2 linked regions of the Danio rerio genome follow. The protein of the gene in region 2 purifies or fractionates together with the protein of the main gene of each other region. This does not show direct contact. Links are inferred from orthologs where the notes say so. Each region holds a gene or a part of one and is shown on either strand. Other genes may lie near its edges.

The links.
Region 1: the proteins of drg1 (region 2) and ntmt1 purify together in Homo sapiens (affinity purification with mass spectrometry; 3 studies listed by BioGRID and IntAct, counting the BioPlex papers as one, with this or other methods). This does not show direct contact. The link is inferred for Danio rerio from reciprocal best matches to the Homo sapiens genes DRG1 and NTMT1.

What each region holds. Positions count from the first base shown.
Region 1 is NC_133180.1:33,156,178-33,172,151, forward strand, and holds the start of ntmt1 (N-terminal Xaa-Pro-Lys N-methyltransferase 1), read right to left. Parts: upstream 8,944-15,974; 5' UTR 8,815-8,943; intron 1-8,814. UniProt on the Homo sapiens protein: Distributive alpha-N-methyltransferase that methylates the N-terminus of target proteins containing the N-terminal motif [Ala/Gly/Pro/Ser]-Pro-Lys when the initiator Met is cleaved.
Region 2 is NC_133185.1:22,529,219-22,545,019, forward strand, and holds the start of drg1 (developmentally-regulated GTP-binding protein 1), read left to right. Parts: upstream 1-7,978; 5' UTR 7,979-8,094; coding exon 8,095-8,133; intron 8,134-8,360; coding exon 8,361-8,484; intron 8,485-10,980; coding exon 10,981-11,156; intron 11,157-11,350; coding exon 11,351-11,420; intron 11,421-11,515; coding exon 11,516-11,685; intron 11,686-12,937; coding exon 12,938-13,068; intron 13,069-13,148; coding exon 13,149-13,316; intron 13,317-15,111; coding exon 15,112-15,234; intron 15,235-15,801. Other genes in the region: kcnn2 (small conductance calcium-activated potassium channel protein 2), read left to right, coding at 895-1,170. UniProt on the Homo sapiens protein: Catalyzes the conversion of GTP to GDP through hydrolysis of the gamma-phosphate bond in GTP. Appears to have an intrinsic GTPase activity that is stimulated by ZC3H15/DFRP1 binding likely by increasing the affinity for the potassium ions.

The sequences.
Region 1 (15,974 bases), on a different chromosome or scaffold from region 2:
ACAAAGCAGGAATTTAAATGGAAGCCCTCAACCCCCCTCCTCTCACCCTCCTCCTCCTCCCTCCGCACCCCCCAGCCCAAATGCCTCCCAGCCCCCGCCGTTTCATGCGCCTGTCAGGGTTCTGCAGTGCGGGGGTAGCTGAACAGCCTGGCTTCAGGGGGAGTGTGGTACGATAAGGGTCTTCACAGCGTGTGTGGACGTGGGATGTGGCAGGGAGGGTGTTTTAGGGTCACGGCGAGAGCGAGATGTTGAGGTGAAAGGAATGTTTACATTATTGGGATCCCCCACTTGCTCTACCAAATGGGAAAAAAATCCTTCCAGGAACCTACCACATATCACCTGGCTCTGGTTTAGCCTCTTTGTTTGTGTGTGTGTGTGTGTTTGGTGTAAAGTCCATTAGCCCCCTAAATTCCAGCATGGTAGTCCAATAACCCACGTTCCAGAGAGGGGAGCTGTTCTCATGGCTAACCAAGAGTAAAGATTAACTGTAATACATGCAGCTCTATAAAACAAATGGCTTACGAGCACCTACCGGAGAAATTACCTTTCTGTTTTACAAGAGAAATGGTATACATCCTTCTCAACAGATGAGAACTGGTGATCTGTGGGAAACTGAAGCTCTTCACTTTGTTCCATGAGACAAATGTCCTCTAGAATTTCTATAACACAGGAATAGGAACCATTCAGAGCGCAAATATATCAATGGCAAAATCTATTTTTGGTCATGATTTATTATTGTGCATTATATCACAAACAACTGTAGTTTAGGGAAGTTTAAGAAAGGGACAATAAACCATTTTTTTATTTTTATTATTTGCTCTTGTATTACTCCAAACCTGTACGCTGAACTTTGTACTGTGGGCCATTAAAGAAGCTATTTTGCTTTAACAACAGGCAGTTAGTTATAGCAATTACTGAGCACCATTAATAGGAACTCCAAACATAGGCTCATTCTAAAAACATAGCCCAAAATTTATTTCTGAAGATCAAGAATTATGTAGCGTGTGATGAATTTCATTTTTAAAATGGACGCTACGAGGGGGTACGCGTTCCTTTTTTATGCTAGCAGCTGACCCCTTACCTCTTTATAGATGGCTTCCCCACTGTTACCAGCTTGTCCAGTAGCTCGCTATGTACATCGACGGACTTGACACGCAGAGAGGAGTTGACTGCAACGACGGGGGTTTGAGTCTGGCAATGAACGGTTACAGAAAGCAGGTAAGACAAAAGCCAAAAATTAAAATAATCAAGTAAATAACAGGGTCAGAATATAGTAAAATCTGACAATGTGGTAAAAATCAGGGGACTTTTCTTTTTCTGGATTGCTTTTATAAACACTGTCGGTTGGGTTTAGGGAAGTTGGTGGGTGGTTCAGTCTGAACTTTTAAAAACACTATTGGTTGGGTTTAGGGATGGGGGTGGGTGGTGGTATCAGTCGGTTGGTCAGTCAGTCGACAGCGACCTCTGGTGGATTTACCTAAGAACAGCAGGCGCAAATGACACACGCGAGAGAAATTTGAGACCTCACAGCATACACAGCAGCCTCTGGTGGATTCACAAAAACAAAAACACGTAGCTCCTAGGACGTATTTGTCGCTCTTTAGAAATGTATATAGGAGTAGATTTTCAGAATGACCCTGGATTGGATATAACTAAGCCAGTTGAAAATGGTGGGTGAAATATGTCAGGACTGAGGCTGTATATTTGTGTTTTCTGATAATTCAGATGGAATGCAAACATATGAGTTATGTGACTTAAAATGCACAAATAAATAATATGATATGAAATTACAAAGTGTGACAACTTGTAGTGGTAAAGGTTGAGGCTGAGAAAACAACGCAGCAAGGTGGCAGCTAAATAGCTCTAAAATGAACTATTCTGTATCTCTTGTAAGCATTTCAATTATTGTGCTGGTGTTTTATACCACATATATTCACCAAATCAACTAAATTAGTTCCACGAAATGAAGTTTCAATAACTGTTATTGTTCTGTGGTGCAAAGAGCACCAATAGTTATAGGAACTATCAGAAGGTTCGTTGAGTATGACAGACACTTCTTACTTCCATTATATTTTTAACCATTAAATTCAATCAAATGAAACAGTAACTTTTGGGTTACTAACATTCTTTAAAATGTCTTGTTTTGTATTGTTTACACATGTTTGGAATGACAAGATGGTGAGTAAATAATGCCAAACTATAATTCTTTTAACTATCCCTTTAAATCAAGTAGAAATCTGATGACAAGGTTTAAGACCTTTAGTAATAACACGATAATAAAACATCCAAGTCTCAGAAATCTATGAATCAAAGAGTCACTAGCTTCTCTTCGTCATATTGTTTTGAGATTAGCCTCCTCTCCTCCTTCCACATAATAGTAACGGAACCTGAAAATGTGTATCAGGAAAGCAGTCATCTCCTTCCATGAGTTCTCTCCTACACCCACTGTTTCCCCCTATTACACAGAAGCCTTCAGGAAGTGCGTCATAACTAAGGAAGTACTTCCAGGAAATGGAGCCAAAGCACAAAAAAAGAAGGGAGGATACAAATATTCTGAATGGCCATCTTATTTTGTTGCTTACTTCTTTTATCAAAAGGTGCAAACAAAGATAAAAGTCTCACTAAGTCCAAAGATCCTTGAATATAATCACATCTGAAACCAAAGCAAAGTAGTGGTGTGACATCAAGGTAGGTTAAAACCAGTGAGATCTCAGTTGTGCAGTTGTGACTGTAAACCTGTGGTGGTGCTCTCATTTCAACTCACAGTAATGTGATTAATGTAGTAGCAGCTATTCACCATCAGGTGGCACTGTTAGTTAGGGCACTTTCCAGTGTTTTTGACCCAGCCCTTGCCCAGTACTCAGCGCTGCTAGCAAAGGAAGAGATGAAGTGGACTATTTGGCCCATAAAAAGTACATGGGCTGAGTTCAGTGACTGGAAATCACAGAGGAGATAGGGCAGGGAGCGGAGGTGAGTCAACCTCATCTGCCACAGCAGGACTCATGCTTTTAGCACCAAAGCACTCATCAACACACTTTGTCAATTTAAAAAAAATTAAAGTTGTTCCTGTTTACCAACTATAATTCTTGTAACAAATTCCATGAGTTTCTTGGATCAATGACAAGAAATTGCATTCAACCGTAATGCCTCAAAAATGTCACTGTACAGTTCTACGCTGCTCAACCTCAAGCCTGGGTTTTGTGTGTTTGTTCTCCAAGTTAAACAGCCAACCCTTATGAACACAACTTTTAGAAGCTCAAATGAAGTTATTCTACCAGACTTTATGTTGTTGGGGTGCTTTGGCGAAACGTAGAGGCATAAAGAAGAGCTGGATGGTTGTGTACTCTAGGCAAAACTGTCTCTGACAGAGTTAGCTTTAATGTGTGCTCTAAAACCTCTTCAGCTCCAGAGCAGCACCGCTCTTGTTTACCAGGAAGAGACTGACGTGGGATGTTACATAAGATTGAGTCTGCCTTTCACAAAAAGTAGTAAGGGGCAATCTTTACAACCTGCTTGTTGTATGTTAAGTAGGCTACACCAGCCTAGGAAGCAGTATCACCTTCTGTGTTGGGTGTGTGTTGTGCTAAATAGGCTGAATGTCTCTGAAGGGTGTGGCAAAGCAGGCATGTGAGTGTGTGTGTGTGTGTGTGTGTGTGTGTATCTATGTGTGTGTGCGTGCGTGCATGCGTGTGTGTGTGTTCACATGTGTTGTGCACTCACTGCCGGAAATTTAATCCAAAATTTCTTACTACTGATATAAAATTCTTATTTTACAGCCAAGTTGAAAAGGTATGTTGTGTATACTGTAAACTCACACTTTTTGGTCACATCAATAACCCATGATTATTTTTTTCCTATTTAAAATATAAAAATGTTTACAGAGTGATATTTTAATGATCCCTTAACTTTCTGATCAGTTGTTTTACAAAATATGTTTTAATGTTTCAATATAATGTTAATATATGCTTTCTTTGTGAATTTATGTTTTGAGTTTTTATAATAAATGTCACATCCATGACGTTGGAATTGCTCCCATACTTTAGTATAAGTCACAAACTTCTGGTTGGTCTTTCATTACTATAATTTTTAGCTTTTTTTTCAAGTATGAAAACATTTTTGCACCTAATGTCCAGTCACCTTATAACAGATAACTGTGATTGACTGTTTGTATAAGTATTCTTTGTTTATATGGACTGTTCCACAAAAATGTTACCACAAAGGAAGGACAATTCTGAAGACTAAAAAAGGTACCTTTTTAGCCTGGAAAAATTTAAAATGCAGGGGCCTTAAAGGGCCTAGGGCTCAGAGGAACCAGATGTTCAGAGGCATAATATCTCAAAATGAACCAAAGTATAAACCACAATGTGGCATTCACTTCTATTAAATGTATTCATTTATGATCAGTTTAACTCCATCTGCATATCTTTTAGCTTGAAACATTTTATGATTTCTCTATATTCATTCATTTTCTTTTCGACTTAGTCCCTTTATTTTTCTGGGGTGGACACAGAGGAATGATCCGCCAACTTATCCAGCATATGTTTTACACAGCCGCAACCCATCACTGGGAAACATCCATACACTCTCATTCACACTCATAAACAGATAATTTTAGCATACCCAATTCATCTGTACCACATGTCTTTGGATTTGTAGGGGAAACCGGAGCACCTGGAGGAAACCCACGCCAATACGGGGAGAACATTCAAACTCCACACAGAAATGCCAACTGACCCAGCCGAGGCTCGAACCAGCGACCTTCTATATATTCTTCTATATATATATTTAGGGGAATAATACTTAAATATTTAAACAATATAAAATCTGTACAAAATGTAGTTTAGTTTGTTAGACAACAAAAATAATGTTAGCCTATTGTATATTTAACCGATCCAATCTATGTTTACATAAGTTTACTAAGCTTGCTAGTACAACTTAAACATTTGGTTGTAAACTTTACTCCCTTAAAACATGATTAACAATGATCTGTTTTCATGACAAAAGTAAAATTGTAATATCAGGCTATAAACACTGCTCAGCATATAATAATATTTTCTTTAAAATTATTACTTTCTACAGGATGCTTTATAATAATATTTTTGTGTATATAGATTAGATTAGTCGGTACCAAAGACAAAATTGGATCTAACAAAAAAAATTTAAATCACAGTTCAAAAATTAGTACACCCAAAATAATATGTGGGAAAAAAATATTAAATACAATTTTAATAAACAGGAAAAATTAAGAGAAACATAATATAAAAATATATAAAATGTTTTATTATTTTGCAATATCTCCTTTGAAGTTAAATGTAACATCTTTCTATTCCTAAAGATCTTAATTGACCAAACTCTTCATTTAATGGATATGCCTGTTCAAAAAAATAGTTTTGTTTAAACGCACCAAAATAAATTGTTTACATTCACTGAGAAATGGTTGAAAAAATATTAATTCAAGGGGTGAATTCATTTATGTATATATCCAATGAGTGGATCTCTAATAATATTATACTACACTATACAGTGGATCTCTAACAAAACAGTTCAAAATCGTTCTAAAGTTCTAACAAGGGCAATACGGTGGCGCAGTAGGCTGTGATGTCGCCTCACAGCAAGAAGGTCGCCGGTTTGAGCCTCGGCTGGGTCAGTTGGCATTTCTGTGTGGAGTTTGCATGTTCTCGTGGGTTTCATCCGGGTGCTCAGGTTTGCCCCACAAGTCCAAAGTCATATGCTAAAATTGTCCATAGTGTATGTGCGTAAATGAGAGTGTATGGGTGTTTCCCAGTGATGGGTTGTAGCTGGAAGGGCATCCGCTGCGTAAAACATATGCTGGATAAGTTGGTGGTTCATTCCGCTGTGGCGATCTCAGATTAATAAAGGGACTAAGCCAAAAAGAAAATGAATGATTGAATGAAAGCTCTAACACTTAAAAAAAATTCTTAAAAAATTGGTCTTATAAATTAGTCCTGGAACAAATTTGTGTCAGAAAGTTGGTGCTGCAGTCATGAAGTGTAATAAAGTGTGTAATGACTTTTACCCAAGATCCCACAGGGATCACATAGTACATGCTGATGCACAATATATTGGTGATGCTATCATTATCTGCCAATAATTTTTTACTTAATATTATCTGTATTGACATGATATGTAATTAATTTATTGGCAGATTCATTATCTATTTTTTCTGATGGTTGTTCCAGTTTAGATGTGTGCTGCTCACCATAAGGGTCTTGATCAGTGCCTTGGACATGATATAATACAGCTAATGTGTGCTTTATAAGAATCTTTCTCAGAAAGAAGACATGATGTTGGCAGTGTTTGAGTTCATCACTGAAAAAAGACAGGATTGAGAATGATTTTGGGATAATAAAGACCTAGAAGTTTTCTTTAATGTCACCTTGTTTTCTATGGTTTAGAATCTAAAATAATATTCATTCTCCACCACATCTGTGTTTTGTTATCAGACACAGAAATACACACAAAGATTGATCTGCTTACACGAGTTATTGACTTTCAACAAAATAAAAGAGTTGCTGATATCAGATCAAATTTCCATATTGTAAAAGATGTTAAAAAATGTAGTTTGTGTCTGTATTGATCAGATGTAATGATCAGATGTGCTCCAACATTAGGCACATTCAAATCAAGACTGAAAACACATATGTTTATCTGTGCCTTTACTGAATGAGCAATATGCTATGTCCAACAGATCGCAATATTATGTATTATCAATTTTATTCTTTGTTTTTATTTTATTTTAATTGTCTCTTTTATTCTTGTTTTATTACTCAATGAAAAGCACTTTGAATTACCAATGTTTATGACATGTGTTCTATAAGTAAACTTGCCTTGCCTAGTATTCAAACATTGTTTATGTACTGTAACAGGGAGACCATATTGAACATAACACAATTGTTATTACAAGTCAGTACTTTTTATTTTAAGAAAAAGTAAAATAATTAATTTTTAAGCATTTTATGTGCCTACAAAGACAATAACACCAGCAGAAGCAGTGTGTGCATTTTAGCTAGCTTCGCAATTGTGCCAAATGCTACTGTGTAAACAGCCCTATTTCTTCAGTGTTTGAAACTACCCTGGTATAAATAAGCATGGAGAGTAATGTTACAATACTTAATTTTATCTATTAAGGAATATTTTTTTTATAATAATGTGAATGTTATTTTTCTATTCTAACATTTAGGTCAATGTTTAGAGTAAATGCTGCAAATCAAATTAAATGAGGTATAAATAAAATGTAGACTTTTAAAACAGAATTTGTAGTAAACTGATTCTTTCATTCATTTTCCTACGGCTGAGTTTCTATTTCAGAGGTTCCCACAGCAGAATTTACTGCCAAGTATTCCAGCAGATGTTTCACGCAGTGGATGCCTTTTCAGCTGCAATCCAGTACTGGGAAACAACCACACACACTCATTCACACACACACACACACTACGGACTATTTCGTCTATTCAACTCTCCTATACCTAAAGTTGTTTAGACTACTATATGTGTTTTGAGAGTGGGGGAAACCAGAGAACTCTGAGTAATCCCACGCCAACATGGGGAGAACATGCAAACTCCATACAGAAATGCCAACCGGCCTAGCCTGGACTTGAACCACTGACCTACTTGCTGTGAGGCGACAGTGCTAACCACTATTAAACCTTATTATTTATGCACAGAGACTAGGCTACATCCACACAAAGCCAGAGCTATCCTTTTTTTTTAAAATTCTGTAATTCTTTTACAGAGATATACAAAAATGAGAAAGGCACACAGTTAAACCTCGCATGCTACATACAAATCACAAAGAAGATGAACTTGGGCTGGGCAATTTGGCCTAAAATCAAAATCTCGATTAATTGAAGATTTTAACTCGACTGTAGTTAATAACTGATTATTTTATTTTTTGCCCCCACAGTTCACTGACAGGTTTTGTACAATAGACATGCACACATATTACAAGTAAGTGATTTCTGAATGAATTACTTGATTTTAAATTACTGAAGGAAAAAAAAAACTATTATCTATTATTATTTATTGAACATCGACTATGAGCAACTGTAATTAAAACACACATTGCCTAAAACCAACAGTCTAACAACAAGCTAAATTGACCGTAGTGTATGTGTGTGTGTGTGAATGTATGGATGTTTCCCAGTGATGGGTTGCATCTGGAAGGGCATCCGCTGCGTAAAACATATGCTTGGTGGTTCATTCTGCTGTGGCAACCCCAGATAAACAAAGGGACTATGCTGAAAAGAAAATGAATGTATGAATTTTCTAAATATAGAAATTAAGCAGTATTTAAAAAAAAATTAAATAACTCTTGTATATCCTGATAATAATGTTTTAAACAGTGCTTTTTTGAATCTTCTGTAAACAAATATTTTAATGTAAATTATAATTTTGTTGTAACAGACAATATGCCATCTCAAGGCATATCTGGCGCAGCTTCCAATCTTCATCAATTTAATGAAAACGTTCAATGTGTAGTTACATTTTTTGAGAGGCTTGCGGGTATACAACCCAACGAAGGCTGTGCCGTACCATACCCGTGCATTCGACGCAGAAGTACAAATCAGCCTTAATACTGTGTTCACACCAGATGCGGTGTGCATGGATAAATCATGCTATTCGTTTGTAAATAGACGTGTGAACATTTTGAGTTTACTCGCTTCATTCGCACATCAAATTCACTGAGCAATAAACATGGATTCACGTCATGGGCGGGGTATCTGTCTGTCCGGTAACTCTACATTCATTGCCAAATAGCTAACATGGATTTTATTTAGAGAATAGCTGTGTTACCGTGCTTTAGGAAGGCTGATAATCAGCGTCGATTCTTTTGAAGCCTTGTCTGAGTCCACTAGATCCATTCAGAGGTGCACCCAGCCCTGTGAGTTCATCTCCTCTAGAAACTGTACCTGGATCATGGAAGCTTTCAGCGGTGCTTCAGACTGAGCCAAGCCCAGTTTGATTAGATATTGACCGGTGTCGGCAAGAGGATTTTCCCCCGGGACACCAACAACAGGCACTACGTCATAATCATGCCCCTACATAACGCATTGCAAATGTCCACTGAAGTTTAGATTTTCCAACTCGAGCGATTCAATCGCAAAAAAACTTTCAACTGCTGCAGCTCCATTTGTGCGAATCGCATCATTCAATTCGCCTTATTAGTGCGTATCGCGACACAGGATGTCTATTCGCATCTTTCCATTGACTTAACGTGTAAATCACTCTTGCTTGATGCTTCATCCGCATCTGGTGTGAACCCAGCATAACAGTGCAGGGTCATGTGTCTCCACACAAAGTGGGAAAAGTCATTGAAAAAAATGACCTGTAAAAAATTTGACCGATTATAGATTCTGAATGTCGATTTTGATTACTTTTCAATTAATCGCCCAGCCCTAATGGCGAATATTTTTTTGTTAATTTATTACGCTTAATAGCTGCTGCAGCATGAATGTGTATATACAGTTGTCCACTAATGTTGTTGTCGCTGTTACTTGTAGTAGTGCTGTCTGACTAGGGTCGATGTGTGGGCTGACGACACCATTGTTTCACAAAATATACGGTTTGGCAGTTCACATGAAAATGCTATGGCCTCGTTTCATTCTCCCAAAAGATGTATTAATGCCTATTCAATTTAGTTTTTATTTATTTATTTGTTTTTTTGCGTCTCTGTGTGGATGGGGCATTAAATGTTTAATGTTAGTTAAACTGATGACGTAACAATTTACTGTGCGTTACAACACATCTCCGACCTCCAAAATACACAATGGTAAGTTTTAAGATCTGATGACATTCGCTGTAAAACAGCAACAACACAGAAAATCAGGCAATTTTTCATAGCGCTATCGTTAATGTGACTCTCTAAAGTAAAATTGTCCTCTCTCCCCCTCCCTTCTGGTGAGTCAAACTGTAACATTTCCTTCTCCATCTCAACTGCTTCGCTGTTTCTCTCTCTCGCTCGCGCGCTAGCTCTCTGTTTGGAGATTAAATGGGCATCCTGCCAGTTTTTCATATTTCCTGGCAGCAAAGGGGCCAGCCAACTTCCTGGAGGGGAGGGGCTTACTGAAAGGTTACATTTGCACAATGTGCCTATGGAAAAACACAGAACAGGAGAGAGGGGAGGGGCAGCAGGGGAACAGAGAGGGTGAGAGAAAGGGAGGGGGAGCTTGAGAGAGCGTTAGGCAGCTTGGGCTAAACTAAACGACTCCACCATTCTGCTGTGCTCGGGTAATGGAAAAAGCCCTCCAGGGGAATATTCAGCATGCAAGAGTATCGAGTTGCTCTCCATCATTACAATGCTGCCTAACACCCCCCTTCACCCCCTTTCGGTCCCTCCCCCGCAACAGCCCCCCACCCACCCCCTCTCCTCCATCCGAGCTTCATTTTTCCCTCCTTTTTCTCCTATCCATGCGTCTGTGAAATAGAAAGGCTTTCTGGGAGGCTAGCTGAGGGCCAGGGAGAGAGGTTGTTTGAGCCTAGCCTATTTGAAGTTGGTGTAAAGGTGTTCATGCACCGGTGTGTGTTGGTGAGCTGGTTGGTTGGAGCTGCAGTGTAGTTGCGCTGGTTCACATGCGAAGGAAACAAGCATCCTTGTCATTGTCTATTCATAGAATGTGATGACAGAGAGCATGAGCAATGGAGATAGAATAAAGAACAGTTACTGTTAAGTAATTTCGTTAATTAAAGCCTTAGTTAGAAGAATCCGGCTTGGAATGGCTGAGAAAATGTGTTGTTACACCAAGATAAATGCTTAGTATGATTGAATGTTTTCATCTGAATGAACAGCTGTTCTACGACTAGACTGTCACAAACATTTGTCAGGAATTTTTGTTGAGGATTTATTTTTGCTCTGTGTTGGGCTTTGTTGAGATTGGACAGTATAGTGAATTGACAGGAAATTAAGTGATAGTGAGAGCTGTACGGGATCAGGAAAGGTCCCCAAGCTGGGACTTGAACTTGAGTCAGCGAGGCAGTGGTTTCGAAGCATTGGATTAACAAAAAATACAAAATTACGTAAAGGGTGCTGCACACCAAATGACAAGCACAGCACCTTTAAAAACGGATTATATTGGTGGTGATACACAGTGGCTGGTACCTAACCCCAGAAGCATGTTTAAGAGGTTAACATGTGTTAACATGGTTATCTTTTGTTGAAATTAAAATGAAATAACGTTAATTGATGAATGTGATCTGGTTCAAGTCCTACACTGCAAAAAATGCTTTTCTTACTTAGATTTTTTGTCTTGTTTCTAGTCCAAATATCTAAAAACTCCTAAATCAAGAAGAATTTTCTGGACAAGCAAAACATATTGTCTTGTTTTGAGAAATAATATGTCCATATTAAGTGAGTTTTTCCTTAGAACAAGCAAAATAATCTGCCAATGGGGTAAGCAAAATAATCTTACGTCAAAAAAAGAAAAAAAAACAAGATTAATTTGCTTACCCCATTGGCAGATTATTTTGCTTGTTTTAAGAAAAAAACTCACTTAATATTGGCATATTATTTCTCAAAATAAGACAATATGTTTTGATTGTCTGGAAAATGCTTCTTGATATAAGAAATTTTAGATATTTAGACTAGAAACAAGACAAAAAATCTAAGCAAGAAAAGCATTTTTTGCAGTGTAGATGGGCCAGGTGGCATTTCTGAGTTGTGTGGGTTTCCTCCGGGTGCTCCAATTTCCCCCACAGTCCAAAGACATGCAATATAGGTGATTTGAATTGACTAAATTGGCCTTACTGTATGAGTGTGTGTATAAATAAGAGAGTGTATGGGTGTTTCCAGCACTGGAGCTTCCTGAGGTTGAGTACTCTCAGGGCATACTCACACTAGGTATAGTTGCCTTGAACTGTGCCAAAGCGCGATTGTCCCCCTTCCCCTCTCCCCGACGGCCTGTACTCACACTGCATTTTGCCTTCCAAACCTGAGCATGCTTACGTCATCAATGATGTGACTGTTCAGTTTAACAGGAAGAGAAGCAGTCTTGCTCAGGACAGCAGAGGTTGCTTTAGTTATATTGCTTTAATAATTGAGGATGCAGTGACACGCTGTCAAATATTTTGCCGATCAGATCAACCACTTTTGAAGCACATAAATGTTCACGAAAATCTTCGTGCTGCACATATTATGGCCCGTTTACATTGAGTAGTACAGTATGGTACTGTACGGGTTGGTATGGGTCACCTTTATCAGGCTCGCTAAATGCTATGCTATAAATGCTTTTCGATGCTAAAAGGGTACCAATGGTACTTTTTTGGTGGGCGTGGTGTAAGACAAAGTTTCATACATAAATACTTATGTATAAATGTTTATTACCAACCTTTCTATCTAGGTTCAAAAACAACACGCATCATAGACTACAGTCAGAGCAAACCTCTAATGTGTCTTTAATCTTCAGCAGCATGTGTAGCCTCTTGTTAGAAAGTAATTCCGTCTTTGCAAGTTCATAATAGTCCAAAAGGCGATGATCATAGTTAAACAGGGCAGTTTATCGATGTTTTAGGTTGTTGAAACAATCATTAGCTCCTTTGTTTTTTTCTGGCTTCTCCTTTGTTTTTTCGCAGGTCACTCTCGCGTTTGTTCATTTCTGACAGGATCGGCTGTCATAATCATTTCAATAATCACATGCATGTTATAATCATCAGCACAAGAAGTTTGTTATTTCAAATATCGACGCTCTTTGGAGAAAGTGAAACAGCTTGAGCTTTAGACAACCATGTAAAAAACTACGGGGCACATTGTTCATCAAGATAATGACAAGGTTTGTTTGAGCTCGGGTCGACCATGGCTCGTTATTATATGTATACATTATTATGGTGTAATGTCTCATCTGTGTATTTAAAACATGGCAGCTACTTTGTTTTCATTCTGGCTTATCCACAAGCGAGTGCCATATTTCTGTAAACCAATAGCGTTCAGTTGTGCATCTAGCTCCGCCTTTTGATACCCTTTTGCTTTGCTAGGAACCCTTTGCAAAGGGTACCCAAAAAGTGGAGTTTGCCTATAGAGTACAGTTTGCCTTTAGATACCTTTTGACAGTGGAAACAGCCATATCATACCGTACTGTACCGTACCACTAAGTAGCTGAAGGTGCAGCTGACAAACAGTGAAGGGTTTCCATCTATAATAAACTACGACAGTTCGCGTTTATTGAAAAGTAAGAATGATTATTAAATCCATATGAAACAATCGCTTAAAAGTAACGTTGCATCTACAGTTCTGGATCTGGCACATCTCTTCCAACTGGGCCAGGGCCGGCTAACTGAACTGCGCCTGAGCACGATTTGGGGCATTCACACTTGTCAAACAAACTGAAAAACACACCTGGATATGGTTTGGATGGCATAGTGTGAGTGCACCCTCAGTGCAAGCTCGCGGCTGGAAGAGCATCCGCCTCATAAAACTGTTGCCAGACTAGCTGGCGGTTCATTCCACTGTGACAGCTCCTGATAAATCAGGAACTAAGCTAAAGTGAGTGACTGAGTGATGAATGTGAATATAACGTGCACATGCATCGCACACATTGCACAAATATGCAGTTTCTAGCTGTGTTGACATGCTACTATCCTTCCATTACTTATTTGTTTAATTAAGAGATGAGCACATGTAGCTTTGTGCCATGTTAACTGTATATATATCAAGCAGTAAAACTGAACATTACTGTGACAAAAAGCAAACAAACTACAAGGCTAGCTGTCAAAAGAGGACTGATGGAACGTTGCTGTGCTCCACTACACAAATTGAATTGTTGTAGAATAAAGTGACAGTCACATTTGACTTGTGTCAGTCACACATGACATTTCATTCTCCAAAATCAACAGCTCGTATCACACGTCATACTTCATTATGATATTTCTGCATCCCTGATGGTGGATGTGATATGTTGATCCTGGAACATCATTTTTATTCCAAAAAATCTAATCCATACCTAATTGCTACCCCTAAACCAAACTCTAATTGTAAATTATTACCATAATCAGGGGGGTGTTAAATAACAACTATGTAGAAGTTTAAAACCCTAAATGTAAGCTTAAACTTTGCTTAAACTGTAAACTTATTACTTAAATCTGATTCGCTTATTGTAATACTGTTCCAGGATCAGCACAGATGTCCTACTTAAAATAAAATCACACTAACCTAATCACACTAACCTAGGTCCTGCACAAGTGCAATAGTATTCAAGTGTAGTTTTCAATCCAATGAAATGCTTTTAAGGCAACAAGATGGCGCAGTGGGTAGCGCTGTGGCCTTACAGCAAGTAGGTCGCTGGTTCAAGCCCCGGCTGAGTCAGTTGGCATTTCTTTGTGGAGTTTGCATGTTCTCCTCGTGTTCACGTGAGTTTCCTCCGGTTGCTCTGGTTTTCCCCCACAGTCAAAAGACATGATGAATTTAATGAGCTAAATTGGCCAGAGTGTATGTGAATGCAAGAGTGTATGGGTGTTTCCCAGTTCCGGTTTGCAGCTGGAGGTGCATCCGCTGTGTAACACATATGCTGGATAAGTTCATTCCGTTGTCCCCTGATTAATAAAGGGACTAAGCCGAAAACAAAATGAATGAATGAATGAAAGAAATGCTTCCGTGTCCTCTTAATCAAATACGAAAAGGTAAATCAGGCCTCCCTGGAAGAAGAGGCTGCTCAATGGGACTCTTATTGTCTACATTAAGAATAAATAAATCTATAAATCCCTTGAAGATGTTGAAATATATTTTCATTACATACCAAAACAAAACTTACGAACCAATGTTCATTTGCTGCTATTTTTTTACAGGAACCAGCCCCTTTTCTGTGTAGTCTTGTATTTGGCAGTAAACACTGAAATTACAAAATTCTTCAGAGCTGTTTGAGAACATTTCAATTTTGTTTGACTGACCAGAAGTCTTAAATAAAGCATTGCTCAGCTCTTTTTGTTTAGTGGCCATTTTCAGCTCTTTCATAAGCACCACCTACTGTCAGAAAAAGAATTTTCCTTCAGCCCACCTGCCATTTTTCTTCCGACAGGTCTGAATAGATACACAATATCCTGTCATTACTTTCTCCCTCACTCTATTGAAGTTCTCCCTTTTATGATGTTGCTGCCGAAAAGAAAGGAGGATATTTTGAAAAATGTTTTTGCCGATACAATGCAAGTCAGTGCTATCCAATTTTGTTGTAATCCTTTTGTTGTGGTATGAAAATTTCTTCTTGTATGTTCTATAGATAACTTTTGGATGCACAGAGATTGCAACACTGTTTATTTTTTTCAGTGATGGTCTATAGTTCAAAAAGATACGTGAATACAATCCACAATCTGTGATTGGCTATATATTTAGGTTCAACAGTTTAACCTTGTCTATGTAGATGTTCCTCAGCCCACAGATAGAAACTGAATCTGACATAAAGACTTTTTTACGGTATAAAAGGAATAAGTGAGATAATGATTTTAGACTCAACTTGGACAAGAAACTTGATATGCAAATTGCATTAAAAGTTTCTGATATGTCTTTCTTGGACAGAGGAAGATTTATTTATGGATATGCGCTGATCTTCCTGTGTTCATCTTTTACGTAATCGTCATCTGTGACAAAATAGCCTTCCTCTAATGATGATAGTCATGATATTTCTAAAGCCAGGCGTACTGCACACTGCTAAGAATGGACCGCACCACACCCTTTCCACTCCTACTCACTCAGTATTTCAAGAGTAGGAACACTGCTAAATTCTGGCAGGACTGGCAAACCTTCAAAGAATTGGCACAACCAAAAATAAACCGTACGTACTCATGGGGGGGCTGGCAGTGTCGGTGCAAACATTTTGAGCTTAATACTGAATGGATAGTCTTCTTGAACAATACTTCATTCTGCCTTTCTGGCCAGGCTTTGAAATGCCTATGAAGAGAGTGAAGGCGAGAGTTCCATATGAAGCAGAGGAAAAGCTAAATTATTGTCCCCCCAAATCCTTTTCATGTCTGTTTGA
Region 2 (15,801 bases):
AATAGAAAATAAAGCAAATATCTGCAAAAAGGTCCACTTTTTCAGAAGAAAAACACCCCTTTTAATAGGCTGGCTACAGGCCTGTATCATTGTTGAACTGTTAATTCTGTCATCATTTACTCATCCTTTACTTACTCTAAACCAGTTTAAGGAATTATGGTTCATAAGGTTCATATTAACTGAAGTATGCTGGAAACCTGTAACCACTGACATCCGTAGTAGGAAAAATAAATACTATAGAGGTCAATGGTTTTCAGCATTCAAAATATCTTATTTTGTGTTCAACAGAAGAAACTCAAACATGTTTGTGAAGAGTAAAGGGTGAGTAAATGATGTCAGAATTTTCAGTTTTGGCTGATCAATACTTTTAACATTAATTTTAACAATATTTCTACCGATATTGAGAAAGCATTGGTCAAATTCCTGGTATGGCCAAACACGAGTGAACGTGTGTATTTTTAGTTGATTACAATGCAAAAAATACAGGTTCATGTTTTTTTGCAAGGTTCAAGGTTCTTGTTTTTTGTTTGTTAGGTACTCTGAGTTGCTTGTAGCTAGACGTCTGAGTCTGAAGTTTGTGCGCATGATGCAATGTCATGAAAGACCTTTTATGTCGTCGGAACTGGGAATTGAGATGTCTAAAAATATGGACGGCGCACTTCATTTCTCATCAGGACAATCCATCAATCGAGCCCTTTTTTAGAACGCCTGCCACATGCCGCTGGGTTTGACATGTCCTCTGTGACATGACTGATTTTGTCATCTTTTATTGTCAGATGATAAAAGAGGTCTTATAAATATTGATCGCGCCGCACTAGACTTATTGTACCAGACTGTTGGAGTGATCATGTACGAATGTCTGTTAACTCTAACTTCTCCCTCGCTTCATCTCAGACTCAAAACGTCATGTACGACCTGGTCTCGGACCTGAACGAGCGAGGCGAGGACATGGAAAAGAGGATTGCACTGCTGGAGACCAAACTTGAGACCTTGCTCAGCAACTTACAGGCACTCCCGGGCCTCATCAGTCAGGTGATCAGCCAGCAACACCGGGACTTCCTGGAGGTGCAACTCCAGCCATACGACAAACACAGCCACGAGCGCTCGCAGTCTGTCTCCCGGCGCAGATCGTCTTCCACCGCGCCTCCCACTTCATCCGAGAGCAGCTAGAGCTGACCGCCCAGCCGGCATTTCCGGAGAAGACTTTCGCCATCATATGGCCAAGTTGCATTTTACTGTAAAGCCTTATGGTTTCAATAAAGTATTATCCAAGTTCTGATGGCACCATCAGAGGTTACTGTGGATAATGCATTTGAAATGGATATCTTCCACACATATCTTGTCGATTTGTTTTTTTTTTACCTCAATAAATGATGCTGTTTCTCTGTTGACAGGATCACAGAGAGACTTTTCTCAGTAACTAATGATGGAAAGATGGGGCTATCAGGTGAGCAAGTCCTTCCTGCGGGACTTAATTCAGGAAAGCAATGTGACGACCTCAAATGGCGCCAAACAGTGCCAGACTAGTGCTTCCTACAGAATTGTCTGTCTCTGTATATGTGAATGAGATCTGACCTGTTTCTTGAATCAACAGGCATTAATAACTCTTTATCGAGGAACTAATAGCATGTCTGAACCCAAGACAGGGGCAGATGAGGAATGCGTCCCCTTCCTGTCCAAATAGCGAAACCCCTAGATTTACACTCTCAAAGGAAAGCATATATCTTTTAGGTTAGAAACGGCATCAGCTGTAGTGTTCTTCTGTTGTAAGCCCTCTAAAAGTGACTATTCCGGGGGCCATGTTGCAAAACAATTTACTCCTCTCGAAATGAATGCATCTGAATCTATACTTGCACTTTTTATCAATGCACTTCAATGCTTACTGACTATAATATGAATTTATGTTGCTCATTCAAATAAAAAAGACACCTTTAGTCATAGGATAATGGCCAGAATGTACAACGATAATGATTGTGTAGGCTACGGCAAGGGCAGCAATGAGACCTCTACTGAAATGACTGTGCTTACAATGTAGTTGTTAGATCGCTGCGGTTATTGCACCAACGTTTCAAACTCTCCATTAGTTCCGATGGCAATTGACGCATCTCTATGGAGCAGCTGAGAGGAAACCTTCTCGGTTCACTGTGCTCTGTGCTTAAATGAGACCAGATCTACTGAATGCTATTCACAGACGTAGATCTGTTTAAGAGCAGCAACTATCTTGTATATGTTTGGAAATGCCTATTTTTGTATAATAACGAGGACAAGCACACCTCCAAATGCGTATGTCTTTCTCGAAGGATGTGTGGTAAAAAATGTGTTTGAGTTTGTAAGTGGAACAGAACCAAAGCTTTAAACATGGACAGAAAGTAAGGAAATGGATAGTCTTCTGGGAGATCTTAAAGATTTGTTCACACTTGTAGTTTGTGGTTCTTTTAGTTCACTTAGCAATCACACTGTCATTTTTAACTTGTATACTTGCTTGGTGTGCTCAAAGGTTCAAATGGCAGCGTTCTGATGACCCAGTGTATTGTGATTGGTCGAGTGTGTTCAGCGCGAGACAGAGAGAAACGCCCACCACGGCTTATCAACATTGTTGAAGTAGTGCAGAGTGTATTTGTGAGCCCAATGCAAGAGTTCATCAAAGCAATGCAGTTAAACACCAGCCTATTACTATGTTCCTAACCATAAGTAAAAACAACAACAACATTTAGTATTAATCCACACAGTGGCAAAAGCTGAACTATTTCGAAACTTGACGGCCACACGTGTAGGAACAGCTGACGGTGGCCATAGCAACGACAAACAGCAGAGGATCGCGAGCTCACAAACACATTTGAATCCGTGAAGACAGCGACACGCCTTGCATTTTTAGCATGGCTTTAGACATGATATGAGAATATAAAGAGTTGACCAGATACAGTACAAGCAGCGTACAAGTAACACTAACACAATTAAATGCATATTTTGCAAGCTCGAGGAAACAAGTAGGCAACCATTTTAATCGCACTTACTTACACTTTTGAAATGAAGGAAGGAACTGATTCGTGTACTGTAAAGATCCCGGTAAGCTCTAAAAGACTCCCATACATCAAAAGTCTTTTCTGATCTTTCCTTTAACAGACGCCCGACAAATCCCCCGTTGCAGGGTAGATTTCTGCATTAATCACTAGAATGTTCACTTATCTTCAGTCCTGATCAGTCCCACACACACCTGCACTGCTATTGTCTGAAGGAAAAGGCGCATTTACAGTTTACCCGATCTGGCACTTCATATTTGGTATTGTTTCTTGTCGACATCAATACAAACAGACAAAATAATTTAAACGAATCAGTCGAATCTTTTATTAAAAAATTGTTAGTTTTAAACAAGGTGCTCTTTCGGATTTAAACCTCAGCTGAATGTTTTCTTTTACTTAGAGCGTTGTTGCACACTGCATGGAAGGTCATTTTCAACAACCCATAATAGGGGCTGGTTAATACAAAAGAAGTTATTTTGAAAATGCTGGTTGTTGGGACCCATCGACTTCCATTGCAATCTTTTTTCCAACTATGGATGTTGATTGGTCCCAGCAACCAGCATTCTTCAAAATATCTTCTTTTGTGTTTAACAAAAAAACTAAATCAAATAGATTGAAAAGCAGATGAATATAATGAGATCATTTTCATTTTTGGATGAACTATGCCTTTAACTCTTTAATAAAAAAATAATAATAGAAAAATTAGCAATGAGTGGTGTCACAATTAAACCAAAGAAGTGGAAGTTAAAAGGTTAAAGTGAAACAAAAAGAATCATGACAGAAGGTCATGGTAGCTAATAGGCTATATGTACAGCTAGTATTTTTAGCCAATGATGAACTTTCATTAAAAAATTTGTGAGTATTTTCAGTTTTATGGATTCCTTTTACAGCATCAATGTTGTAATGTAATTCAAATATAATCAGTTAAATAGACTTAAGCATCCATTTGGTTGTTAAAGTATAAAAAGACAGTTTACACACAGGCACCATCATTAGCAGCAGGCTAGCAGAAACTCCATTGATAATACTAGGGTAAAATTAATTTCCATATTTTAAAGACATGGCACAGAAAAATAAAACTTGATGCAGTGCTTCTTGTTTGGTCTGATACCGGTTTTATATCATATCTCAGCCAGGCAGTGAAAATCGCTGTTTTTTAAAGAAATCAGATCCTAACCGCAGCGATTTTGTATGGGATGAAAATTAACCGGAAGCCCTGGGGCTGGCTGACTGAAATGAAGAATTTGTGTGCATATACCCCATTAAAGGAGCACCTACTGAAATTTGAAAAGTATTTTAAAAACATTAGAATTAAATGTAATAATATAGACGAGGTCAACAGAAACCACAGATTTTTGCAGGTTGTGCCTGCAAGAGCTAATACTGTGTCTACAAAAAGAAAAAAAGAAAAAAAAACACAACAGCAGACCCCACAATAATCGGTGACTCTATATACACTATTTCAAATGAAATATGGTTAAATCTAATTGAATTGAAATCATGTTAATCTAATTAAAAAATCAAATCACTAGAACTGATAGCAATACTTATCCCTACTAGCAGAGCAATATGCCCGGAGTTAATTTTATTCAAGCCAAACCTGCTTAGTGTGAAGACATTTTAAGATCTCCCAGTAAGCTGAACTGTACCTTTGCACTGTAATGGATTTCTCTAGGATGGCCTTCTGGCATATCCGTCGAATTCAGCCTCTGTTTTTCTAACTGGTGTTAAAGGTCAAACGAATTCACAGCACAATTCAAAATAAAGGAGTTTCATGCTTATTTTCTGATCAGTCGGTCTCGTGCCATTCAGTACGCAAATGTCTGTCTGATGCAAAGAACTGATAACTGCAGGACTATTTATTGTAGGAGAGAAGATGACCAGTTCACCTTACTTTACTATCATTTACTGATAGCATGTTATTGATAGATCTGTGCACTTTAGATTCTAAAGATATACGATGGGTTCATGTTGGATATATTGGTGCATTTCATAACTTGGCCCAGCAACAACAACATCCCAGAGTGCAATGTCATTATGGGGTTACAAGAACCTAACGAAATGATGGTGGATCCAGCAATTTCACCAACATAGAAACTATGAGTGATAAAATACTGTATGCAAAATGAATATAACAAATAAAACAAAACTATTTAACAGAAAAATAACTGTGTGTGTATGTGAGCATTAATTTTGATGTCTAATTTATGTTATGTTAGCTATGTGTTTTTTACAGTTATTTATTTTTTGTTTATGATTACCATTTTTGAAATGATGGATATTTAATGTCTAAGTATATTACTTACATACAATTGCACTTCATGAGTTCTGCTTGTTTTAACTAATATATTTTTAATCATTGATTGACTGATTGATTTTTATGTTTTATTATTATTTCTTATAAATGGTCCAGAAACAGTTATGCTATAATTCAAAAGGGGTTAATTGTTCTGAAAAAATGTTTATTATTTTTTTTGTCAAAAAAGGCGCCAAGTGTCTTCTAAAAAAGGACTTCTGTGCTCTAAATGTATCTAGATTCATGACAGTTCATCCAACACCAGTGGTAAATTGGAAACAACATTGTCATAGTGAGTTATGCTTTCCCTGTTCTTCTTGCATGCACACAGCATACCATATGATCTCGGTCAATGAGGGACTGTGCAATAAATGTACAGAAATAGTGAGATCGACATAGAAGCTTTCAAAATGAAAGGCACACATCCAAACTTTAATTGAGTATAGTAAGAGTGTTAATGCTATACTAAACATTATGGTTGGTGCTTGGTACATTTACATTTAGTCATTTAGCAGACACTTTTATCCAAAGCGACTTACAAATGAGGACAAGGAAGCAATTTACACAACTATAAGAGCAACAATGAATAAGTGCTATAGGCAAGTTTCAGGTCTGTAAAGTCTAAGAAGTAAAGTATTAGTAATTTTTTTTTTTTTTTTTTTTTGAGTACAGTTAGTGGTATATCCAGAGAGGCAATTGCAGATTAGGAAGTGAAGTGGAGACTTATTATAAATTATACAATATATATATATATATATATATATATATATATATATATATATATATATATATATATATATATATATATATATATATATTTATATAACATTACTTAAAAAAACAAGCACAACTAGTCATGAGCAATTTTGTGACTAACATATATACAGACTGCAAAAACACTTTCACACAGGGCTAAGCAGTTTTGTTTTCACTTAAAAATTATAATAATAAACATTTTCAAACTGTATGATGTCTTTACTTATGTTAACTTTGACATGTATTTAAACTTGTTTCATGATCTGAAACATTAAAATGTGATAAATTATTAGGGGCAAACACTTTTTCTCATATTTGCTCATAAGTAAATCTTAATGACTGTCTCAATTTTGCAAATAATATTTTATACAAAAAATAAATAGACATGCTGCATACAAGTAATTTAGTACCATGTAAAAACGGAATATTAAATATAAAAGATTATTAAACTAAAAGTACATGTAAAAATGTAGGTTCATCATGCAATTTGGATGGTTTGATTTAACAAAAACTGTTACAATTACACACACAAAAAAAGATAGAACCTAACAGGATAACCCACAAGAAAAAATACTATTGTTATTTATAGTGAATGAATATCATGAACTGTGTTATAAATTTATTCATTAGTCATCACAGCAGAATGAACCACTAACTTATCCAGCATATGTTTTACGCAGCAGATGCCCTTTTAGCTGCAACCCATCACTGGGAAACATCCATACACACTCATTCACACACACATACACTGCAGACAATTTAGCTTGCCCAATTAACCTATAGCACATGTCTTTTGGACTGTGGGGGAAACAAGACTACCCGGAGGAAACCCACGCAAACACAAGGAGAACATGAAAACTCCACACAGAAACGCCAACTGACCCAGCCGAGGCTTGATCCAGCGACCTTCTTGCTGTGAGGTGATCGTACTGACCACTGCACCACTGTGACGCCCACTTTAGTTGTTATACTACAGCAAACTGTAGTGTATTTTTGTAAATATATATTTCTAGAAAACAGTACAGTATTGGGTAATTTGTTCATATTATATCTGTATTACCACAGCAACTATACTATTATCACAACAGATTAATTCAAGTATTAAAGTATGGTTGGAAGACATTAGAAATTACTGTACTATTTTTAACTTGTGAATTTGCCCATCCAGCCATTTAAGATGCAGATGACCTTTTTCCTCATTATTAGCTGAAACTGCGCTCATCTTCATTGTAAACAAACAGCATCAGCTCACATGAGGTCTAACACACTGGCATTATTCAGTCTTAGGAATGTTGGCTGAGACTGGATTAAAGAAAAGATAAGCTAAATCAGTTTTGTACAGATAAATCTTTTATGTATTGTACTTTTTTATGAATATCTAAAAATACATTTTTCAATGTTCTGCTGAGGGAATCACCAACACGGATAACCTGAGGGTGAGTGTTTATTTATTGTTTATTATTAATGGTTGAACAACAGCTTAATTTTCCTCATCATGTTGAATTTATAGTCTGGGTTTACGGTTCACATAACTTCCCTGTCATAAATGTCTTTGTTTTTTTTCTTTCAGAACAGTCATTTTCAGAAGCCTATGTTTCTTTATTAACATGTGTTTCTTGTACAAAAATATCTACCACATCTTCCGAAATGTGAATTAGGCTCCTGTTAAAAATTAATTGTTGAATCATGTTGAATTCATACAGTCTTAGTTTGGTTCACAGTACTTTCCCTGCCACAAATGTGTTTGTGTTTAATCAAAACAGCCTTTATCTATCCATCTTTATTGGCGCATTTCTTTTCCTCAAGTATCTTGGAATTATTTGCTCCTTACCAGAAGACGGAGCCCTCCTCATCATGTCACAGCCACGTGAAGAGCCGAAGTATCGCGGGAACACGAAGCGTGGCCGTGAACTCCCGGCAAAGCATGACAACCGTGTGCTTTTGAGCTAAATAGCTGCGTAATTCCGAAAACACTGATTTTTAATTTTCTCAAGATACAACTTTGAAAGGACCAACGCCAAAATGAGTTTACTGGCCAAAATAGCCGAAATCGAGAACGAGGTGGGTTGACATTTACAGTGAATTACTTTATGAAAAACGGCTGTTAGCATTTTAGCGCCAAACCCATTCAACAGTCTGTCCTGCTGTACCTTATTTCAGAAATAAACTGGACATTTAATACACAGACCATTTAAATCCTATACAATGTTGAACTCTGTGGAAATCTGTTGTTATGTTGATATTGTCATCGTGAATGTGCGGTTTTCTGAACGGGCTGTGTGCTGCAGATGGCTCGGACTCAGAAGAATAAGGCCACCGCTCATCATCTGGGGCTCCTGAAGGCCAGATTAGCCAAACTGAGGAGAGAACTCATCACCCCTAAAGGAGGCAGTGGAGGAGGCACTGGAGAGGGTTGGTACTGCACTATCATCACCTACACCTGCCTCTCATCACATCAGACAGCTATTTACATTCACAGGCTCTTCAAAAGGGGAAGTTTGGTATTGCTAAACTTTTATCCAACTTTTTCTTACACCCCTTAATCGTTAGTTTAAGAGATGGTGGTTTCATCTGTTAAACAGTAGACTTTCAATGAAGTGTTTAAATCTGGGTGCAGTGAGGTGGCACTATTGTCCTCAAGGTATTCAAGATTAACCATGGGTTTACTACAAATAAAACAAATCAAGCATGGTTACTGTTTAGTAAGTCGTATTTGCTGTGATGATAATCCATTTGCTTAAATCATGGTAACTTTTGGTTAGTTATGCAAGGGAGCAGTTTTTCTAGTGTTTTACTAGCTTTTCATAAACTGCCTAGGCCTGTCACAATAAGGAGTTTTGTTGTGTGATATATTGTCACAGAAATTGTTGCGATAAGCAATGTTGTAGTTTTAAAATCGTTTTATGCGACTGTTTATATGAAGAGTTCATATGCAAAACCCTCTTGTCTAAATCCACAAGACCTCTTTTTTTGTAAATGAGCATTTTCTATCAGGCTTCTATAATTAGGTTCAGAAGTTTAATTTTATAGATAATAAAAAAGGTTATTAGCTAGTAAATAAAATAACATTTTTTCAAAAATGTCACTTTAGACATATTTTTTTTAACAAGGTAGTTTTTCTTTTGCGTCAAAACCAGCTAAATCCACTTGTGCTTTTATTTATTTATTTTTTTTTTGCAAAAACCCCTAAATCCACCAAGAAAGTGTAATTAGAATCACTAAAGAATAATTTACCCTAACATATAGCGCATTGCACAAAACACCGAAAATTATAAATACATAAACATGTCAAGTAAGTGGCGGTTCATTTCACTGTGGCGACCCCTGATTAACCAGGGACTAAACAGAAAGAAAATGAATGAATGAAATCTGTCAAGTAAGTGCATTAATCATTAACATTAAAATTGAAATTTATTAAAGCTTAACAATCTGTTGTCATTTCTGATGTTATTGTAAGTAGAGCACAGTAAACATTGCAAACTAAACGTAGTGTAAAACATTGTGAAACATCATTATCTTTGCATTGTCCATGAATATAAAACGCTTATCAGATATATAAGTAATATCAAGATATAAATATTATGTATAGTTTTATACATTATATTTATTATTTTTAAAAAATAGCTAACATTAACAAATAAAACACAAGGTAGGCCTACTGGGCAAAAAGGGGATGTCTGTCAGACAGTTTTAGAAGCTGTCATTCATTCATTCATTCTCACCATAATCAAGGTCTCTGTCTCTTTTTCGTGTCTTGTTTATCCTCATAGCATCCATGTGGGATAAAAGAACGACATCCTTACTTCGTCTTTCATGAAATGGAGTTGCTGTTTAATGTGTAGTAAATAGGACCTATTTATAGCGTCACTGCACGCAAAAAAAAAAAAAAAACGTTATGAATATATCCACAGTTCCAAATGTACAGTGTGTTTTCTTTTTCTTATAATGCACACAGTTTAAAGGTAAGGGATGTTTTTATTTGCCATTCACTGACAGTCGAACAAGCTCATCCAGTTCATCAAACTCCATCTTTTAAAATCTCAAGTAAAAGTGGAATAAAGTCTCCTCATAAAAGCCGGTGTATCAGCGTGTCGTTAAATTGAAAACATATGATTCGATTCATGCCTTCTGATTGGTTCTAGGGACATAGCGGCTACATATATGCTATTATATTATAGATAAATGTTCCATGATAAACTTCGACACTGGTAAGGTAGAATGTAAATGTCAATGTAAGATGGCTTTAAGGTTATTTATGAATTGTAAATGTATATTTTAGCAGGTAAAATTATTGAGGTCATCTCAAAGTTTTGCAAGTCGATATATTGATTATTGTGACAGGCCTTCATATTTTCATCTATTTTGACAATTGGACAAACTCAAAAGGTCTATAATAATTTTCACATTTATTTTGTGATTATTTTTACAAATGAAATAATTATGCAAAATTAGAAGTATTGTAATAATAGTATTGTGTTGTAAATGATTAAAGTACTCATGTTTGCTTTTTTGATTTCTTTATTTTCAAGCTGTAATCAAAATCATTTGGTAAACTTGCGTCCAAGAACTCACAACATTGTGTTTTGAAATACAAACCAGGAATAAAAAATAACTTGCGTTCTGGAGATGGCATGCCTACAAGCAAGAAAACTTGACATGCAATTGCTTAAGTGTTGCAGCAACTTTCATTTTTATTGATAAATTGTCAGTTTAAAAATGATCAAATTAAATAAATGGGATGAATTAGTGCACTGTGTATTCTTTTTAAACTTTGGATTAAACATGGTTTAAGTCTATAAAAAGGGGTTCATATCTTGTCTTGAAGTTTCATGCTTCTATTGTCTAACAGGAGCTCCAGAGTCAATTATGGCTTTCATTTTTTCACCAACCTGGTTTTTCCCCCCTCAGGTTTTGATGTGGCTAAAACCGGTGATGCCCGAATAGGTTTTGTGGGCTTCCCATCAGTAGGCAAATCCACTCTTCTGAGTAACTTGGCTGGTGTGTATTCTGAAGTGGCTGCCTATGAATTCACAACACTGACAACTGTACCAGGAGTGATCCGTTACAAAGGAGCGAAAATCCAGGTGAACCATTTTGCAGTAGTCCATTACATACCTGATTAAGTTGCGTTTGGACAGTGTTGAAAGGTATAACATGATTTAGTGATTCATCATTTTGTAAAGTAGGTGTACAACCTTGCTGAATGACTGACATAAATGATGCATTCTGAATGTAAGGTCTATCGTTTTAATGGTGTGTTTCTTATTTTCTTTGTTAGCTTCTGGATCTCCCAGGTATCATTGAGGGGGCAAAAGACGGCAAAGGAAGAGGACGACAAGTCATTGCTGGTAATAGACTGTTAACACAGATAATAACAAGACACTTGTAGTGCAGTTCTGTTTTTTTAATTGGCATTTCCCTAAACTTTTCTTCATTCCAACAGTTGCTCGCACTTGTAACCTGATTCTGATTGTCTTGGATGTACTGAAGCCCCTCGGACACAAGAAGCTTATTGAACACGAGTTGGAAGGTTTTGGTATTCGGCTCAACAAGCAACCACCAAATATTGGCTTCAAGAAGAAAGACAAGGGCGGAATCAACTTCACTGCCACTGTATGACTTCAGTGTACTATTAGCTCTTTATTGCATACATTTACACACTTGGGTATTAAAAAGTTTCAAATGTTTGTTGATGTAAAGTTAATATAATTATATGTAATGAAATAATATTACAAAATGCATTTTTATTAGCTTTTTTTCTCCATTTTTTAAAAATCAATATGTCTATCATTGCAGTTATAATATTTGTCCAGTACTAATTTCCAAATTACATAATCTAATACACTGTTCTTAATTTAGTTGTAAGTAAATTATGGCTATATCAGTACTTTATTAATTAATATTGTGAAATATTAAAGGGTTTATTATCATTTATATTACATTATTTATAAATGTCCTTTTGATACAATGATTTTATCTATTTTTTTACCAAAGTTTAATTTTACATTTATCATTTGAAAAGCAATTTGACTTATATGTATATCGTAAAAGAGAATACACATTTTTTTGACACTAATCAGTTTCTCATAACATGAACAGAATTGGCATATTTTTTTTATAATTTTTTTAATCATTTCATTAGTTTTAGCCATATTGTTAATGCCTTTTTGCTTGCCTCAGCATGTTCGCTTCCATCTTTTCTTTTCTTTTTTTTTTAAATGTTTTTATTTGTTTTTTCTTTTTTGACATACACAAAACAAAAATACAAACACAACATAAAATGCCTGACACAAAACACAACTGCATATACTAAAATATACATATGGCCAAAGCCATAAGCTATTATGTTATAAACATTACAATATGGCAGGAAGAGTGAAAAGTTTGATGAAAACAGAAAACAAGAATGAATGTCTATACGGACATTGTCATTCCGAGTTTCAAAATGTCACATAAAGCAAGGTTTATACTGTCCAGATATGGTGTCCAAGTGCGAATAAATATATCAGTTGTGGAGTGGCTTAGACATGTTAAGTATTCCAGGGGAATAATCTCTTGAGTTATTGAATGCCATCCTCTTAAGGAAGGGAGCTTATCATTGATCTATGACATCAAAATGTTCTTCCTGACAGCAAAAGTTAACAGGCAGAGGAGTCGTTGTTCATACTTGTTCCTGATTAGTTTGCAAGGAAAACTCAGAAGAAGGGACAAAGGGTTTTATATCTATGTCCAGTCCAAAAATATTGTTTATTTTGGCTACAATTCTGTTCCAGTAGGCCAGAATCACATGTGCTTCCATCTTTTAATGTCTGTCATTCATCAGATAAGTTGTGTTTGCAATTGTCATTGTGTCTTTCTGTTTTAGTGTGCCCAAAGTGAGCTGGACGGTGACACTGTCAAAAGCATCCTTTCCGAGTATAAGATCCACAATGCAGATATTACCCTACGCAGCGACGCTACAGCCGATGACCTTATTGACGTGGTGGAGGGAAACCGGTAGGAGCAAATTCTCAACCTCAATCCTCAAGCGTTCTCACTTCAGAAGAGATTTTCACATGCTGGTTTTCCTCCTCTAGGGTTTACATTCCCTGCATCTATGTCCTCAACAAAATCGACCAAATCTCCATCGAGGAGCTGGACGTTATCTACAAAATCCCTCACTGCGTGCCCATCTCCGCTCACCACCGCTGGAACTTTGATGACCTGTTGGAAAAGATCTGGGATTACCTGCAACTAGTGCGCATGTGAGTTACCTTCACTGCATTCTGGGAGCAATTTTTTACATGACAGCGGAGTTTGATGATTTTTCACTTCGTAAAGCAGTGGTCACCAAACTTATTCCTGAAGGTATGTGTCCTGCAGATTTTTAGCTCCAACCCTAATCCAACACACCTAAACAAGCTAATTAAGGTGTTACTAGGTATACTTGAATCACCCAGGCAAGTGTGTTGAAGCAAGTTGGAGCTAAACCCTGCAGGGACACCGGCCCTCCAGGACCGAGATTGGTGACTTCTCTTGTTAAGAAACACTACAGTCCTGTAGTACATATTTGCGTATACCTAAAAACTGAACACATAATTCACATCCATATGACATCATAGTGTAAACTGCAAAAAACATCTAATTGTGAAAACTGAGATGATAAAAGTAAAAATGGAAGAATCAAAGCTTTAAATCAACCGAAACAATTGCTTGGTGAAATGATTCAGTGTTTCAAAGTGTTCAGTGTTTTTTGAAACGCAACATCCTGGCGCCACCTGTTGGTCAGTCCTCTAAATGCATCTCAAAAACCTCTCATTAAAGTGGACCTATTGTGCAAAAATCACTTCCATAAGGAGTTTGGGCACAGTTATGTGGCAACAGTGTGTGAATATAGCCAGCTTCAAATAAAAAAAAATAATAATAATTACCTTTTTTATTATCACACTTGATAAAAACTTTGAGCATGTCATCAGGGAGGAAAGCCCCACCCCATGGTGTCAATCTGTCCTTAGTGACATAAACAGCCCTGAGTGAGAAGCAGCTGTCCACCATTAGTGTTTTCACCATACTTGCTAAAGATAATGTGAGCGACTAAGAGACATTTTAAATGCTGAGTTTTGGGATGCACAAATGAACACTGTAGGCTCCATAGACTGCCTCCTCCTTAGCCTTCAGTCATTGATAGAGAGAACATTCATTCTTTGAATCTGCTTCTATGCTAAAGCATAGGTGTTTGCAGCTCAATGTCATTTGAGTTTAAAGAGAGAGCCACCAAAACTGCACAATTCTGGTGAAAGCCTGAAAGTTTCAGTTTCAAGGAGTTATAAAATACGATTCGTTAGGTATTTTGAGCTAAAACTTCAAACACACTCTAGGGACGTCAGAGACTTATTTTGCATCTAGTAAAAAGAGGCTTAATAGCTCCGCTTTAAATCATCTGCAAATGTGTAATGATCCAAGATCAGCACAGACTGTAAACTCTCAGTAATGTACTATACTATTTCATTATACCTGAATGATTTATAGGCTCACAGAGATTAACGCTCCTGCAGAAAACTATTGGAATTTCCAAGTGTTTTAAAATAGCTGTGACGTAACATTGATATTCTAAAGACGGCTAAAACCTCTATACCATTGACTTCCACATAAGGGAAAAACCAAATACTACACATCTATCAATACAAGTTTGTAGCTATCTTCAAAATATAATCTTTTCTGTTCAACAGAAGAAAGAAACTCAAAGGTTTGTAGCTACATGAGGGAGAATGAGTATTGTGTAAATGTTCATTTTTGGTTGAGCTAAATAAATACATATATATTTTTAGGCAACTTAATTAAATCGCTGTAAGGGAAATCAGTGACTTGCTGAAGAAACAGTTTACTGAAACTTTATTTTGAGTGAAAAAGCCTAAGAGACGCTTGCAGGAAGGTAATGTAATGTACTGTAATGCATCACAGTGTTCTGCTGTCTAGTGCTCTCTGGGAGACTTTAAAGTTTGCACTGTGTGTCATAAAGCCTCAGCAGGATGTATAATAACACTGACTGATTTTTCACAGCTACACAAAGCCGAAGGGACAGCTTCCTGATTACACAGCACCTGTCGTTCTTCCAGACGGAAGGACCGCTGTCGAGGACTTCTGCCTAAAGATTCACAAAAACCTCATCAAAGAATTCAAATAGTAAGTGACTAATGTTTATTTCCTGCACGTGGACTGAAGTTGATCTCATTGATGTTTTTGCCTTGAGTCAGTTCTGATGTAATGTGATTATGCATTTCCTTTGGACGTCATTGTTCGTCTGTATTGAGATCCAAAGGATAAAATCATTGTGATCTGAATTCAGTTCTTGATAACCGTTGTCTCTGATGTAATGGCAGCACTAGTTATCTACATTTTACACACATCAGCTCATATCCTGAACTTTATTCCAAGGTTAAAGTGAACATACAGTGTGTTTCTGCTTCCTTCTGTTGGGAAGATTTTGTCTCTACATTCTGTCCAAAAAGCCCTTTATTTATGTATTTATTTATTTATTTAGGATACCTGTATATCAGTGAAGGTTTAGTTTTTATTTAGAAGTTATTCTATTAAAATATTTCCCCCTCACTTAGAGGTTGTGGTGTAATTTCCACTTTTTTGTTATAGGGTTTTTGGTAATACTTTATTTTGATGGTCCCTGTTGAACATTTTGTTGACTAAAAGTTGCATTGCAACTACATGCTAATTCATTCTCATTAGACCATTAGT